Linked DNA regions of Macaca fascicularis. The protein of the gene in region 1 interacts with the protein of each later gene in a biochemical or structural test. Links are inferred from orthologs where the notes say so. Each region holds a gene or a part of one and is shown on either strand. Other genes may lie near its edges. The genes, in order: SMAD4, SKI, COPS5 and TFE3.

Evidence for each region.
Region 2: the proteins of SMAD4 (region 1) and SKI form a complex in vitro, tested with the Homo sapiens proteins (3 studies listed by BioGRID and IntAct, with this or other methods). The link is inferred for Macaca fascicularis from reciprocal best matches to the Homo sapiens genes SMAD4 and SKI.
Region 3: the proteins of SMAD4 (region 1) and COPS5 form a complex in vitro, tested with the Homo sapiens proteins (2 studies listed by BioGRID). The link is inferred for Macaca fascicularis from reciprocal best matches to the Homo sapiens genes SMAD4 and COPS5.
Region 4: the proteins of SMAD4 (region 1) and TFE3 form a complex in vitro, tested with the Homo sapiens proteins (2 studies listed by BioGRID). The link is inferred for Macaca fascicularis from reciprocal best matches to the Homo sapiens genes SMAD4 and TFE3.

The regions. Positions count from the first base shown.
Region 1 is NC_088392.1:38,667,198-38,670,760, forward strand, and holds part of SMAD4 (mothers against decapentaplegic homolog 4), read right to left. Parts: intron 2,044-3,563; coding exon 1,924-2,043; intron 1,828-1,923; coding exon 1,711-1,827; intron 290-1,710; coding exon 239-289; intron 1-238. UniProt on the Homo sapiens protein: In muscle physiology, plays a central role in the balance between atrophy and hypertrophy. When recruited by MSTN, promotes atrophy response via phosphorylated SMAD2/4.
Region 2 is NC_088375.1:232,546,613-232,550,723, forward strand, and holds the start of SKI (ski oncogene), read right to left. Parts: upstream 2,862-4,111; 5' UTR 2,414-2,861; coding exon 1,445-2,413; intron 1-1,444. UniProt on the Homo sapiens protein: May play a role in terminal differentiation of skeletal muscle cells but not in the determination of cells to the myogenic lineage. Functions as a repressor of TGF-beta signaling.
Region 3 is NC_088382.1:77,031,952-77,035,514, forward strand, and holds part of COPS5 (COP9 signalosome complex subunit 5), read right to left. Parts: intron 3,514-3,563; exon of another isoform or gene 3,340-3,513; intron 1,650-3,339; coding exon 1,501-1,649; intron 1-1,500. UniProt on the Homo sapiens protein: Probable protease subunit of the COP9 signalosome complex (CSN), a complex involved in various cellular and developmental processes.
Region 4 is NC_088395.1:49,199,079-49,203,241, forward strand, and holds the start of TFE3 (transcription factor E3), read right to left. Parts: upstream 2,841-4,163; 5' UTR 2,711-2,840; coding exon 2,595-2,710; intron 74-2,594; exon of another isoform or gene 12-73; coding exon 1-11. UniProt on the Homo sapiens protein: Transcription factor that acts as a master regulator of lysosomal biogenesis and immune response.

The DNA.
Region 1 (3,563 bases):
TGTAATTCTCATTTTAGCTGAAAAGACAGTTCTTTTCTTTCGGGGACAGTTAAACTGAATAAAATACAGACAGTCTATGTGTGACTATATCGGCTATTCATACTGTTGATTAACTCATGTCATGATGAGTATTGTACTTATCTGAGAAGTGACCCTATAATTCTATTAAAGCCTGTGCTTGCACGTTTCAATCACCACTAAATCTAAATACAGGAAATCAATTTTGAAATACACTTACCAGGATGATTGGAAATGGGAGGCTGGAATGCAAGCTCATTGTGAACAGGCCCTAAAGAAAAGACAACAAAAATTCCATTTTTATTTATTAAAAGTTGTCTAATGCTAAAACTTTTAGTAAATCTTACTTAAATATAACTATTATCAGTTAGGAATTGTTGAAAACAAGCTTATGCAATGTCTAAGAACTTAAAAGTTTACTTTACAATAAGCAAATAGTCTTAAACTATTAACACTTTTGTGGATATTTAATAACTAACATTTTAGTGCTATCTGCCAAGTGTTATTATTACACAATTTACACATAATTTTCCATCCAATATTTAATACAGATCATAAATGATTTATGTAACATCCAATATAGTACAATTTATAATGCAATGTATAATAACAAACTATTAGGTCTATTCTAAAAACAAGTGCTTACATTAATTAAGGATGTTTATTTAATGGAATCGTAGCTAACATAACTGGAAACTTGTAATGTGTTAAGACACAGTGCTAAACACCTCACATAAATTATTACATTTACTTCTTACAAACACCCCTTGAGGTAGATACTAGTATTACTGCTCCTGAGGCTTAATGAGGTGAAATAACTTGCCAATGGTCACATAAGCCTGTTAAAGGTCCAAACCCAGCACCCTTAAACACTATGCCTAGGCAGCCATTAAAAATTACATTCTCTTAAGAAATGGAAAAAATAGTAACATAACTGAAAAGAAGCAAGACATATACAATACACATAGAGTAGGAGCCCCCTGTCAATTTACATATACCTGTTTATATGACTGGAAGGAAAATGACAAAATATTAGAAGTGGCTATTTTTGAGTAGCAGGATTCAGGGTAATTTTGCTTTTCTTATTTACACTTTTCTGTATTTTCTAAGTTTTCTTTGGTACTATTAATATTATAAAGAGAAGGAATTTAATGTATATAAAAGTTATACTCTTGATTTTACTAAGCCATATGAACAGTGCTCCTATTCTACCTGAAAATACAGGCTATCTGTAGGGTATTCCTCCCAACCATGCCGGCACAAAGTTATCTATAGATTCAACATTATCCAAAGTACACTGAATACTATGCTGAGGAAAACCTTGAGAACTCAGTGCTCAAAGGATTTTAATCCATTATGGGTGGATATACAAGACACAGATGAGATCTAAGAACATATACAAAGTAAACAAACAAATGAATGGAAATCAATGTGATGTTAATGAAACATTAGCAACAGAGAAATAAATGTATTTAGCAAACATCACTCCTCTAAAATAAAAAGGTATAATAACTATGAAAACTACTACTGTTTACAAAAACTACTGAAAAGCACTATTTAATGAAACAAAATCACAGGATGAATAAAAGATGTAAAAACATTTTTAAAAAATAGAAAACAAAGCCCTACCAAAAAAAAAAAAAAAAAAAAAGGAAAAAAAAAAGAGCCCTTACAACAAAAACAAGAGCTTACAGTAATGTCCGGGATGGGGCGGCATAGGCGGGTGGTGCTGAAGATGGCCGTTTTGGTGGTGAGGCAAATTAGGTGTGTATGGTGCAGTCCTACTTCCAGTCCAGGTGGTAGTGCTGTCTAAAAATTAAGGCCCACATGGGTTAATTTGCTTTTATAAAGGCTGCCTACTTTTTTCTCAACTATTTAAAAGATTTTTTTAAAGTATGTACATACTATGATGGTAAGTAGCTGGCTGACCAGTAAATCCATTCTGCTGCTGTCCTGGCTGAGGCCCTGATGCTATCTGCAACAGTCCTTCACTATGGCTGCCCCCCAGTATACTGGCAGGCTGACCTAGAGGAACAAGAAGACATTAACATGGTACATTCATAGATGTCATCTTATGATTTCATATACTAAATGAAGGACTAATTTTATCTGATAATGCACAACTACAAAGATGGGCAAAAAGTATAACTCACCCATGGCCTATCAGGTTAAAAAAAACCCTAAAGTCATCTATAAAGACAAACCTTAACTTGAAGAAGCTCAAAATTATTCCATTTTAGGTAATGTCTTGCTAATTTTAGTGGCTTATTTCTTCACAAACGTATTTCAAATGCCAGCAAAACACCACTGTATGTCTGGCCTATCATATTAACTTCTTCAGAAGTGTATCAGTTCATCCTGGCCACTCCAACCACTTCTCTCTCTGGACCTTTCTGATTAGGATCCCAAAAATCCAGGCTCAAGAAAATGTTGAAAACTGAAAATCATTGTCAGCACTGGTACTAGTAATGGCAGAATGCTAGGGTTTGACAGAGAAAAGCAGAGCAGAAAATTATTTTAAACACGATGTGATGGTGAAGAGGAGGAAGTTAAAAAGATCTAGCTCTGCTGTCCAATCAATATACCATTTACTGGTTAAAAACAAACAAAAAAACTATCACTCTACTTTCCAATTTTTTCAAGAGCTTTTATAAACCAAGAGTCATTTCTTTTCAACAACACCATCATATTCCCAGATTTACACAAAATTAGTTGCCCTCTCTGTATGCAATATACCAAGAGAAGCAAACTTCTCCTGGCTTCTATTCTATTCAAAAACCATCCTATGATATTGCTTACTGTCCTACATTTTTAAGCCTTTTTTTTTAAAGTGGAAATTTGATTTCTTAAAGAGCATTAATTAAGTCAATTGTTTACCCCATTTGGAAAGCACTAAATTTATAATTATTTATAACTGGCATCACCTCATTCTTTTCTAAATGGGAGTATAATCAGATATCTGGAAGACAGTAAATGTCACCATTGCTCAAACTATCAAAGAAAAGGAATATTTTTTTTTCTCTACATATCACATTTCCTTAAAGCTAAGAATTACAAAACCAAAACCTAAAGAGAATATTTCAATACTCCCCAAATTATTTATCTGTAAAAATGGCATTTTAGCAACCTCCCTTCCTACTCATCCGCCAGATTCTGCAATTTATCTTTAAAGGTTAATTATGGTTTTGTTCGTGTTTTTAATAATTATACATGCAATACTCTTAGCTAACTTACCAAAATTGTCATTAACTACACAGGATAAATTATTTTAATTTACAGATATTTAAAAGGAAATCCTTAAAATATTCAGGTGCCAAACGAACATAAATTGTAAAGTGACCCATTGTAGTTATCCATACTGAATACTTCCTTTATGCAATTCTAAGTATGTAAAATAGTTAAACAACACGACTATATCAGCTCATGTAAAATAGCCTTTCAAATCTTCTATTCTAGTTCAACTTCTTTTTGTTCATTTAATTTTATCAATATACTTTTTGAGATCTAAGGGAACATTTTGACACAAGTTCTAAAACTTACAGTAT
Region 2 (4,111 bases), on another chromosome or scaffold:
ACCCCAGCCCACAGGGAGCGCCATCGGACCCACCCCAGCCAACTCCCCATGTGACATGAAGGGTCCCAGCCTGCGAGGTCTGTCTGCAGCTCTGCCACGAGCATCCGTCCCCAGCCCACAGGTCTGCAGGCAGCTGCCACCTGAGCCCTGGCCTGGCAGGGTCAGAAGCACCCCTGCACACACACACGCACACACACAGGCACACGCACATGCACCCTCCGCAGCCCCCTCCGCGCAGAGGCGACAGTCCCTCGCTTCCATCCACAGCCCCTCCTCCCCACGATCTGACACTCTGCTGGAGGGGCGCCCAGAGAAAACCGGGCTGGAGCATCTATTCACAGATTCAGAAAAAAAAAGTTTGATGCAATAGCTGAATTAATTAGGCCTCCCAAGAATAGCTGAGCCAATGCAGCATTCTGTGTGTGCAATTTAATAAGCCTGGATATTTAAAAGAAAAGTTACACATACTTGGGGAGGTATGCAACGGAAAGTTCCTGAGGACCCCACTGAGTAATTTCGGTGCCTCGTGGCCTGGGAGCTGCCCATGCCGGATCCCGTAGATCCTCCAACTGGCAAACTACAAAGCCAGGCCAGCGGCCTCCCTCCCCGGCGCACCCCTCTGCGTTTCAGAAGGAGAGAAGGAAATGGGTGAGTCCAAAACAAATCCCAAGCCGCCAGTAACTCCAGCATGTGGGCCCAGGGGCCTGCTGACCAGGCCCTCAGCCGGGTGCCAAGTGGCCCTCACCCCACACGGGGCACTCTGGGATTTGGTCCCTGGCAGGCCCAGGGAGACCAACCAGCACAGTGCTGGAGCCGCCCAGTCTCAGGCCCCTGTCGCTGCAGCCTGAACACCTGGCTTCATTTTGTGTCTCTGTCCCAAAACTTCAAGGCAACAAACATGGACCGGGAGCCAGTAACAAAACCAGGCCTCGTCTCGCCCAAGCTCTGTCTCCTGGGGCCCAAGGGCAGGCAGCCCTCCGTCTTCGAGGCTGGGTGCCTTCGGGGTGAGGGCAGTCACCTCCACCCCAACCCCAAGGAAGACCTGGGCCTGAGGCATCCGGCTGGGGCCCAACTGGAGCTAACTTCCCTGACCTCGGAGCAGGCCGCTTTCCCGGGAGCATAGGAGGCCTGTGCCTTCCTATCCTATCTGGGCAAAGGCTATGGGCCTGTGGGCCTTCCCCACACACCAGGCCTAGCCCCCACCCCACCGCCACAGCCCCCACTCCAGGCTCCTCCTGGGGGAAAGGGCAGGAGGGCCTTCCTACTAAACCCTCTGGCCCTGCCAAGGGGAACACTCTGAATTTCCCTAAAACAAAGCAAAGACTTGACACATGGGGCACGGCAGAAACACAGGTCCCAGCCTTTGGAGACCAGAGCCTGTGGCCCAGAAGGGTCCCCCACCGCAAGCACATCCACCCCTGCTCCCAGGCCTGGGGCCACTCACCCGGGGCACCCGCCGCTTGTACTTGTTGCCGTAGTCGAACTTCTCCTTCACGTCGTCCAGGCAGCGACCGAGGCGCGCCTGCTCCTCCTTGCCCGTGTAGTCCTGGCTCAGCAGGATGTAGGCCCGCCAGTTGGCCGAGTCGAAGCCCCAGTGGCAGGTCCGGTTCTCCAGGGCCTTGTGCGAGTGCACCACGAACTTGTGCGGCGGGTACATGAGGCGGCAGTCCAGGCACTGGATGCAGGCGGCGCTCGGGCTGCTGTAGAGCTCCGGCACCAGCAGCCCCTTACACTTGCCGAAGCACTCGTGGTACACGCGGACGCTGCGCTCGCTGAGCTCCAGGCCCAGCGCCAGGCTGGCGGCCAGCTCCTTCTTGCAGGGCGGCGGGTAGGCGCCGCCGTAGAGCAGCGCGTTGCACAGGCGCTCGGCGTCCGTCTTGGTGATGAGCCCGCACGAGGGCGCCGAGAAGGGCAGGATGCCCATGACTTTGAGGATCTCCAGCTGGTCGGCCGTGCAGCGCGAGCAGTAGATGTGGAGCTCGTCGCACACCGAGTTGATCTGCTGCAGCGAGAAGTCGCGCAGCACCGAGTTGAGGATCTGCGGCAGACACAGACGCTTCTCGCCTCCCACCACGAAGCACGAGATGGTCTCGCCTTCTAGCACGGTCTCGCAGCGCTCAGTGGAGCGATCGGACGGCATGAAGAAGGGACCGGGCAGCACGGGCGGCGGCGGCTGGATGGCGGGCAGGTGCAGCACGGGCGGCGGCTCGGTGGCTGCGGGCACCGGCGCCGGCACCGCGGCCGCGCCCGCCTCCTTGGCGCTCTCCTTCTTGTAGGCCTCCTGCGCCCAGCGCGCCGAGAAGGCGGCCGGGCCGCCCAGCGAGCTCATAGAGCTCAGGTGGAACTGCTCCAGCGTCTTCTGCAGCCCCGGGTGCGGCTGGAAGCAGCCGCGGCCGCCTGCCGCCGCCTCCATGGTGCGCTCCGTCTCCCCCGGCCGCTCCCGCTCCCGCGCGCCCGGGCCCCCCCGGCCCCCGCCGCCGCCCCGCGCGCCCCGGCGGCGCCCGCGGCCCCGACCCCGGCCGCCCCCCGCCGCCGGCTCACGGCCGATCACGGCCGCGGCCTCGCCCGGGGGCGCGAAGGGGAAGGCGGGCGGGGCGAAGGGGTCCCGCCGCTGGAGCCCGCCGCCGCCCGGGCCCGGCGCCACATCCACGCGCCCCGCGCCGCGCCCGCCGCCGCCCGGGCCCCCCGCGCGTCCCCCGCGCGCCCCCCGGGCTCTAGGCGCGGGGCATGCCCCGGCGCGCGCCGCCAACGCCAACGCCAACGCTCGCGGGCCCGGGGCTCGCGGGGGGCGCGCGGGCAGGTGCCGGCGCCGCGAGGCGCGAATCGCCGCGGCGGCCGAGGCCGAGGGGCCCGGGAGGAGCGGGGGCGCGGGCGCGGGGCCCGCCGGGCCGTCCTCGCGCGGCGCGCCGCCGCCGCCCCGCTCCTCCCACCGCGCGGCGCCCGCCCGGCTCGTCCCGGCGGCGCTGGCCGGCCGCGTCGCGCCCGCCGCCGGCCCCCGGCCCGCCCGCCCGCCGGCTCCGCGGCCCGCCCGCCCGGCTTCCGGGGCGGCGGAGGCGCCTCTCGCCCGCGGCCCTCAGAGCGCGGCGGCGGCGCGGGGCTCGGGGCGCTCGGCGCACATCCTCCCGGCGGCTCGCTCCGGCTCGGACTGAGCGCCCGGCGCTGAGCTCACGCCGCCGCCGCGCCGCCCCGCCCCGCGCCGCCTGCTCCGCCCCGCGCCGGCCCCGCCCCCCGCGCTGTTTGTTGCCGTGCGTCCGCCTCAGCCCGAGCGCTGGCCAAGAATGTGACCCGCTCCCCAGTCGGGCTCTTCCAGGAACGCGCGCTCCCCGCCCGGACTCGGCCGCGCTCGGCTCCGCTCGCCCGGGACTCGGCCACGCTCGGACCCGCCCTGCCACGACTCGGCTACTCTCGGCCAGGACTCGGCTCCGCTCGGCCATGCTCGACTCCGCTCGGCCCCGCTCGGCCCCGCCCGTCGAAGGCCGCTCGGCGCGGGCGGAGGCGGAGGCGGCGGTGGCGCCCGGGGCCCCCCTTCCGGCCGAGGCCGCTTCCTGCGCGGCTGGGAAGGCGCCCGTCTCGCCGCCGCCGGGGCCCAGAAACCCACAGGCCCCCGCCACGACCGCAAACCAGCTGGGGGAGGCCGGGGGGCCACGCCACGCAGCCGGGGTTCTCCCAGGGTGGGACGCCACACAGCGGGGAGGCCCCGGACGCCTCTGGGGTCCCACACACTACCGGGACGCCACACGGTGACCTGGGGTACCACACACGAGGGGGACAGCGGCCACGCCCAGGGACCCCGCGCCGAGACAGGCACCGCGCCGCGTGACCCTGGCGGCGCAGCCCAGCGGCCCCCGCTGCCCCGTGGCCCGGTGGCCGAGTGTCCACGGCTCCCGCCCGCGCCAGCCCCGCCCCGCCCGACGGCCCCGGGCGGACTGTCCCTGATGCGCGGGCCAGGGGTTTCGGGCCTGAGAGGGGCGGCGTCGGGTGCCCCCGACGCGGCCGGTTTGCCAGCCACCCCGGCCAGGTGGCTTATCAGAATTTCGGTCCCGCGGGTCCCGGCGGGCAGGCCGGCGAGACCCTTGCCCTCCGCCCCAGGGCCTCGGAGCGCTGAGACGGC
Region 3 (3,563 bases), on another chromosome or scaffold:
ACCATGCCCAGCCGAAAAATGCAACTTTTATGCAGGCCACTAGCTCTACCTTCTAAAAACCCACTGAGTAGATGGCAGTGAAATAAGGCTAACCCAAAATGACCTCCAATCCCAGGATACACTTCAGGGACCCTTTTCTCCTCTTTTCCCTATAAACCAAACCAGTTCTTAAAATAGATACCAACATGTAAGTGTGTATAGAAGTCAATGTAGTTCTCCCTTCCTTTCTGCCCCTAATTATTGCATTACAATTCAAATTTCTTTTCTTTCTTTCTTTTTTTGAGACAGAGGTTCACTCTTGTTGGCCAGGCTGGAGTGAAATGGCGCCATCTTGGCTCACTGCAATCTCCACCTCCTGGGTTGAGGCGATGCTCCTGCCACGGCCTCCCGAGTAGCTGGGATTACAGGCGCCCGCCACCACGCCTGGCTAATTTTTGTATTTTTAGTAGAGACGGGCTTTTACCATGTTGGCCAGGCTGGTCTTGAACTCCTGACCTCAGGTGATCTGCCCGCCTTGGCCTCCCAAAGTGCTGGGATTACAGGTGTGAGCCACTGTGCCCAGCCTAAAATTCAAATTTCTGTGAAAGTAAATGTTGTTAATCTATGCAACTTTGTATAGCCTATATATCTGAAGGTCCACATAATTATTTCATAAGTTATTAGAGAACATATCCCAAATTTGTTCCTAATAAAATCTTTGGTAGTAAAATTTGGGATACTAAATTACTGTTTTAGAAGCACAATTTGAGAGAGAGACAATCACTTCCGTAATATCTTAGGATTTAAAGCTTTATTGAATATTAAAATATTATAAATTTAAGAAATCCTAATTTTGGCTGGGCGCGGTGGTTCGTGCCTGTAATCCCAGCACTTTGGGAGGCCCAGGTGGGTGGATCACCTGAGGTCAGGAGTTCAAGACCAGCCTGGCCAACATGGTGAAACCCCATCTCTACAAAAAATACAAAAAAATTAGCCAAGCATGATGGTGGGTGCCTATATTCCCAGTTACCTAGGAGGCTGAGGCAGGAGAATTGCTTGCATCCAGTAGGCGGAGGTTGCAGTGAGCCAAGATCACACCATTGTACCACTGTACTCCAGCCTGGGTGACAGAGCAAGACTCTGTCTCAAAAAAAAGAAATCCTAGTTACTTACACACACACACACACACACACACACACACACACACACTTTAAAGATCCACTGAAGGGCTGGTTTTGTTACACTTTCTAGTTGAACTTAGAAAAGGTGACTGGGAGTGTTCCATAACACTGCTTAGATCTTTGATTTAAGCCTTTTAATGTTCTTACCTGATGTATCCTAAATTTTTCAAAGTTAAAACTTGTGTCTGACAGCTCCTAAAGTTTCCAAGAAGTTAATATTCAGGTACCGTTCTAAGTCGTAACTAAGTTGAGCCATAAGGAATCTGAATCCTACTATTGTTTGCAAATTTTGAAAGAAAAAGAGTTAGGGGCAACAAGAATCTTACAGATTTACTCTTACCTGTCTCTCGTAGCTTTGGCAAGTTTGTCTTCTGATTTTCTGTCATGCGTTTCCAAACCCAGCATGAAACTCCCTCGTCCCAGCTGGGCTTCTGACTGCTCTAACTTTTCAGACAAATCAAAGACCTGACCAGTGGTATAGTCTGCATTCTGTGGGGAAAATGGTATTGTGTCACTACAAAACATAAGTCTACCATTTAAAAAATCTATTTTAATGTAAACTAATTTCCTACAAAGAATATTTCATTTGCAAAGAATTCCACTATAAAATCTGAGTGAATAGTCAGTGAGAAGAGAAATCAAATTACATTTGCAAATCTGCTTCCAAATTCAGGTAGTTCAAGAGTAGATAGATGTTTTCCCTTTTATAATTTCAAGATTACTTGGAATTTTTCTCCTTGACTGCTTAAATCTAATATTTGTTATTATGGGAGGCTGTCAAGTATACAGACCTAAGTCCAAGTTCTGGAAGTATGGCAGATTAGTTGAAGGCCTGAAGTATGCCTCCAGGTTCTCTTCTGAAAATGGTAAGGGAGTCGATAATTCCTACCTTAGAGCTACAGTGAAAATTAAATGAAGTAATGCATATAAAGTTTTTGGCACTGTCCATGACACCTAGTAAAGGCTTAGTAATATTAGCTAATTTTGCTATTATTTTTGTTGAACTTTTAGAATTAGTACTTATGACAATATTGATAAAAATAACATTTTAAAAGCTTTTCTGGGTCGGGCGCGGTGGCTCATGCCTATAATCCGCATTTTGAGAGGCTGAGGCAGGTGGATCACCTGAGGTCAGGAGTTTGAGACCAGCCTGGCCAACAAGATGAAACCCCATCTCTACTAAAAATACAAAAAAAAATAGCTGGGCGTGGTGGCAGGAGCCTGTAATCCCAGCTACTTGGGAGGCTGAGGCAGGAGAATCACTTGAACCCAGGAGGCGGAGGTTGCAGTGAGCCGAAATCGTGCCATTGTACTCTAGCCTGGGCAACAAGAGCAAAACTCTGTCTTTAAAAAACAAACAAACAAACAAACAAAAAATCTTTTCTGGTTACAAAATTAATAATTATACAAAAAAATTTGGAAAATGTAGAGCAATATAAAGAAGAAAACAAACACATTTATAATCTCTTCATTTAGCTTTAACCACAATTACAGAGCATTGCTATATGCTTACATGTATACCTACATTTGAAAAACTATAATATTACATATTTTACCAATATTTTTATGGGGTATACTTTTTTAATTGTAGTCTAAAACACACAAAAAAATTTCACAAAGTTATTAAGTATACATTATATTTCTTTCCTAGATCTTCAATAGAAGAGTGTGAAGAGGAAATAAACTAGTTGGCAAAAAGTAGCATGTCATTCTATTTGCTCAGCTTGCAAGGAAAGACAGTCAGTCACCAAACAAGAAAAGTTATTTGCTGCCATACCAGTTCTTCCAGTGACTTTTACAAACTTAGTATTTTTAAAAGATGCAAGTATATTCATTTTGTCTGGATCTAAATGGTTTAGGAAACCAGTATGTTTTTCCTCCCGCAGACTTGGAAAAAACCCTAAAGTTTATAGAGCTATTTAAGCCATAAAAATATAGGCTACCAGAAATAGTTATACTATTAAAATGACAATAAAAGATATCCAATTACATTTCAAATGTACACAAAATGAATATAGTAAACTAATTTCTTAAATTAGAAAATAACTTAGGTTACATGCTATAATGAACTTCCTTAGCTGGGGGAAGAGAGAAGTTGAACATATGTCTACATATTTGTTCTTAAAATGCTGCAATGTACTATACATAAAACAAAAAAAAGGCAGAAATGTAATTTAACCTTTTCTTGATTATTAATGTCCTCATCTATGCAGTGCTGGAATACAGGGACAGACATTGGGCTGAGTAGGTAGATCTGCTTGCCTTATACAAAGGTTCAGACTGCTCTGGTCTTACAGTGTTTTCTCCCCTTGCCATCAGGTGTCACTTCTGGCTGCTATTAGTATACTTGCCTCTAAGGAAACAACACATATAAAGCACTTAGCAGTGTCTGGCACATAGGAA
Region 4 (4,163 bases), on another chromosome or scaffold:
AAGAGTTCAGGCTGAGGGGGAGGTGGAGTGGTGGTCAGTGATTGAATGAAGGACCTTATTCCCCAGCCCTCCCCTGAGACAGAGAAAGAGAGAGACAGAGAAGGGGAGAATCAAGAGGAAGGCACAAGCCCCTCATACTTGGCCACCTTGCTGGGTACCACACAACCATGAATTCCCACCTCCTTCCCCCCATCCTCCTTTCCCCTCCCCACTGTGTTACTCATAGTCCCTTAAGAGTCAGAATAATAAGAACGCCTGCATCCCAGCCCCCACACTGTAACAACCTAGGTTTGAGGAAAACAGAATTTAGGAATAACAATTCACTTTATAGAAGGATTCCTGACTTCCTATCAGAGTTCTCCCAGCCCCCATACCCACCTACTATTTTTTTTTTTTTTTTTTTTTTTTTTTAGACAAAGTCTTGCTCTGTCGCCAGGCTGGAATACAGTGGTGTGATCTCGGCTCACTGCAACCTCTGCCCCCTGGGTTCAAGTGATTCTCGTGCCTCAGCCTCCCGAGTAGCTGGGATTACAGGCACACATCACCACCTCCAGCTAATTTTTGTATTTTTAGTAGAGACAGGGTTCCACCATGTTGGCCAGGATGGTCTCAATCTCCTGACCTCATGATCCGCCTGCCTCGGCCTCCCAAAGTGCTGGGATTACAGGCGTGAGCCACTGCGCCCGGCCAACCCCCTAATATTTTCTTTACAGCTGAATTTGAGCCCAGGTATATGTGTATGTACACACACACACACACACACACAGAGCAAGTAGGGGCACCCCTCAGCATAACAGTCCCTTGTAACACAGACTGAATGCATCACAAAGAGAACTGGGAATAATTCACTTGACATAAAGTCAAGTGAAATTTGTGAAAACCCATTTCACAAATGAGTTTCTCCCAGCCCCAGTTAGAGTTCATGAGATGCCAACACATGCCCAAATATAAAATAGAAATATCAAAGGCTCCCCTCACTCCAACAGACTGGATTTACAAGAGGGAGAATTTGGGTGGTTGATCCACTTTATACAAGCATTCTTTTCTTAGCCGGAGGAGCTTGCCCAGCCTTCTGTTTTTTTTGATAGATCAAAACACACACACACCTCCAACACCAATACCCACTGGCATACAAAATAAGAAGCCATATACACCCCTCCCTTTAACTATGTCCACTACTGCGATGATCTAGGTTGTTACAGAGGAATTAGAAGATGGTGAATCAATATACAGAAAGGCTCTGCTCAGCCCCAGAGAGCAAGGGACAGTTAACACACACGTGGATGAATATGCATCCTTCAATTTAGCCAAACATTTAGAATGCTGAGAGATTGCTGGTGACTTCACTGGACAAGAATCCTCTCCCCTCCCCAAGGATCTGTCTTCCTTCCTCTCCTCACCCTCAGATGGAGCCCTAAAACCACCCAGGAAGTGGGGAAGAGGAAGCTCGGGGGAGCCACTGAGCTCAGCACAATCCCAGGCACAAAGGAGGCAAAGAGCCCCGTCACCACCAAGGCTCACACACCCATTGCACAGAAGTTGGAAGAGATGGGCACTGGGGTGATCAGGGAGGGCTGGGGCTCCAAAGCCCATTGATAAAAGTAAGGATGAGAAGAGGCCAGAGGGGATCCACCCAGGCAGGGATGGTGCAATCTGTACTCGTTCCAGCTCTATGGACAGATTACCCCCAGAAGCTCAGAGATCGAAAAGAAGATAAAAAGAAAAGGGGTGTGGGGCTAGGTAGTGGGAAGGGCTGAGAGGCTAGAACGAGTAGCAGCATGAACAAGAGCCTCCTCTGGGTTCCCAAACAAGGTCTGAGGCCTTCTCTGAGCTAAGAGGTAACAAACATCATCGCCCTCTGTCTGGCTGTCTGTCTCCCATTCAGGCCCTTAACAGGTGTGGGAAGAGGGCTTTTCCACTATCCTTGGGATCTGCCCCAGCTGGGTGGGCGGGCAGGGGGGAAAGGATTATTCAGGCCAAGTCTTGCTGAATGTTGTTGCTTCTCTTGTTCATTCACACGCACTCACAAGGCTGGTCCCAGGCAGCATATCTGAGATACCTCCAAATCCCTCCAGATTCATGTTATCCCCAAACACAGCAACCAGTCACTGAGAGGCACCAAGCTCCCAGGACAGCACTTGTGTCCCTCAGGACCCCTTCTCCCACACTGAGGGAAAAAGATTCCAGGATTCCCTTAAAACCAGTGCCTCACCTGACAGTGTCCCCTCAAATTCATTCCCCTCATGTCCAACTGAAAACCCCCGAATTCAGCCTCTAATCAGAGTCCCAGTCTGCCAAGTTCAGCTATCTCAGACCAGTTTCTGGATACTCCAGAATAGGCCCCTCTAGACACAGTCAAGGGCTCCCCAAACCTGACCCAGACCCCGTTTAATGCACTCCCACGACTCCTTTAATAAAGCCACGATCCAAGCAGGCCACTGCCGGATTCCTTAGGTGCCCCCCCAAGACGGGCGCCCCGACGTCCTCCAAGGCTAGGCCGAGGGCCTCCAATCCCAGTCCGGGGCCCCCGCTGCCCCCCAGATCAGGCCCCTGGGAGCCCCAGTCGGCACTCCCGGCCCCAGGCGGCACCGCACCTGAGCAGCTGAGCCGAGTCGGCCGGCCTGCGCTCCTCCAACAGCACGAACACGGCTCGAGGGCCCTCCGCGCTGGCCTCTACGCCATCCCGAGGTGGCTCGGCCGCATGAGACATGACGCCCGGCCCCGGGCGAGCCCTGCCAGGCCGGTCGGGCCTCGGCCCGGTCCCCCTAACAAAATAAGAGTCCCCCTCCCCCCAGCTCGCCACCGCCTCCTCCTCCGCTAAGCCATGGAGCTAGCACTGCGCGGGCGGGCGGCGTCGGGGAGATGGGATGGGCCGTGAGTCATCCCCCGCCCAGAAGGGACCGACGCCCCCCCAACCTAACCCCGGACGACCGCCCTCCTCCCCTCGTCTTCTTCCCCCTCCTCCCTCCTCCCTCCTCCCAGGGATGGGGAAACTCCACAGGAAGTGACCGCACTGGGGATGGACTGCCCGTCTGGCCACGACCCATTAGCCAGGCGGCCAATCGCTGAACGGCGATTTGAGGGCCCGCCCTAAGCGACGCCTCCGACGCGAAGGAAAAACGCGATTCGGCCCGCCCTCCTTCCGAGAAGAGGCACCCAGACCACGCCCTCAGGGGCAGCGACAAATAGGCGAGGGGTGATTTGGTTGAGCCACGCCTCTATGTTTGCGTCGGTTTCGGAGCCACGCCCCCTCTTCTCAAATTATCCCTCTGCAAGATAATATTATTAAGCCGCTCCTTGGGTCCTCTGCGCCTGCGCATCGATGGCCAGTCGGCGCACGGAGGGGCCCCTGGCCAACTTTTAGTTGCGGAACTGCGCCCTCTCTCGGCCAATATTCGTAATATCTGAGCCCTAGACCGCGCTCCAACCTCGATCTAGCTGTGCTCTCTCAGCCAAAGCCATAACTATGAGGCAGAGGCAGCTACATTCCCTGGAGATGCGGACCAGAAACCCCGCCCTTTCGGTATCCTCAGTCCAACCGCCCAGCTGGTCTTCCGGGAGTACTCTGCCTGTTCCATGCCATCGAGAGCGGTTGTTGTACTATGTTCGTTGCGCTGCGCAACATGTGCTTAATAAATTCTTGACGGGTGGATGAATCTGGTCCCTTCGGTGAATGACGACTTCTGGAATCACAAAGATCCAGGTTTGAACAGGGAAGGGGACCTTCCCTCTCCCAGCCTCAGCTTTCCTGGCCTGTTAAATGGGAGTCAAAATACCTTTCTGGCAGGGTTGTTCTACGGTATGAAAGGTGCTAGCAGGTTGTTTGGCATACAAGAAGTTCCCCAAAATTAGTTGATTCACTCATTTGTTCACTTATTCAACATTCACTGAGCGCTTCTGTATGCCAGACGCATGCAATCCGGCTTGCACACGGCGGAGGGTCTCACCCATATCCTCAGGTGCACATAGCTCACAAAACACCCAGACCCACAGCCTTCCCTTCCTCTTTCTTTCTTTTTTTTTTTTTTCCAGGCTTAATTCACTTTATTTTTCTTGTATAAAAACCCTATGTTGTAGCCACAGCTGGAGCCTGGGTCCGCTGCACGGAGACTCTGGTGTGGGTCTTGACAAGGTGGTCAGTGAATTCCTGATAAGGAGACTTG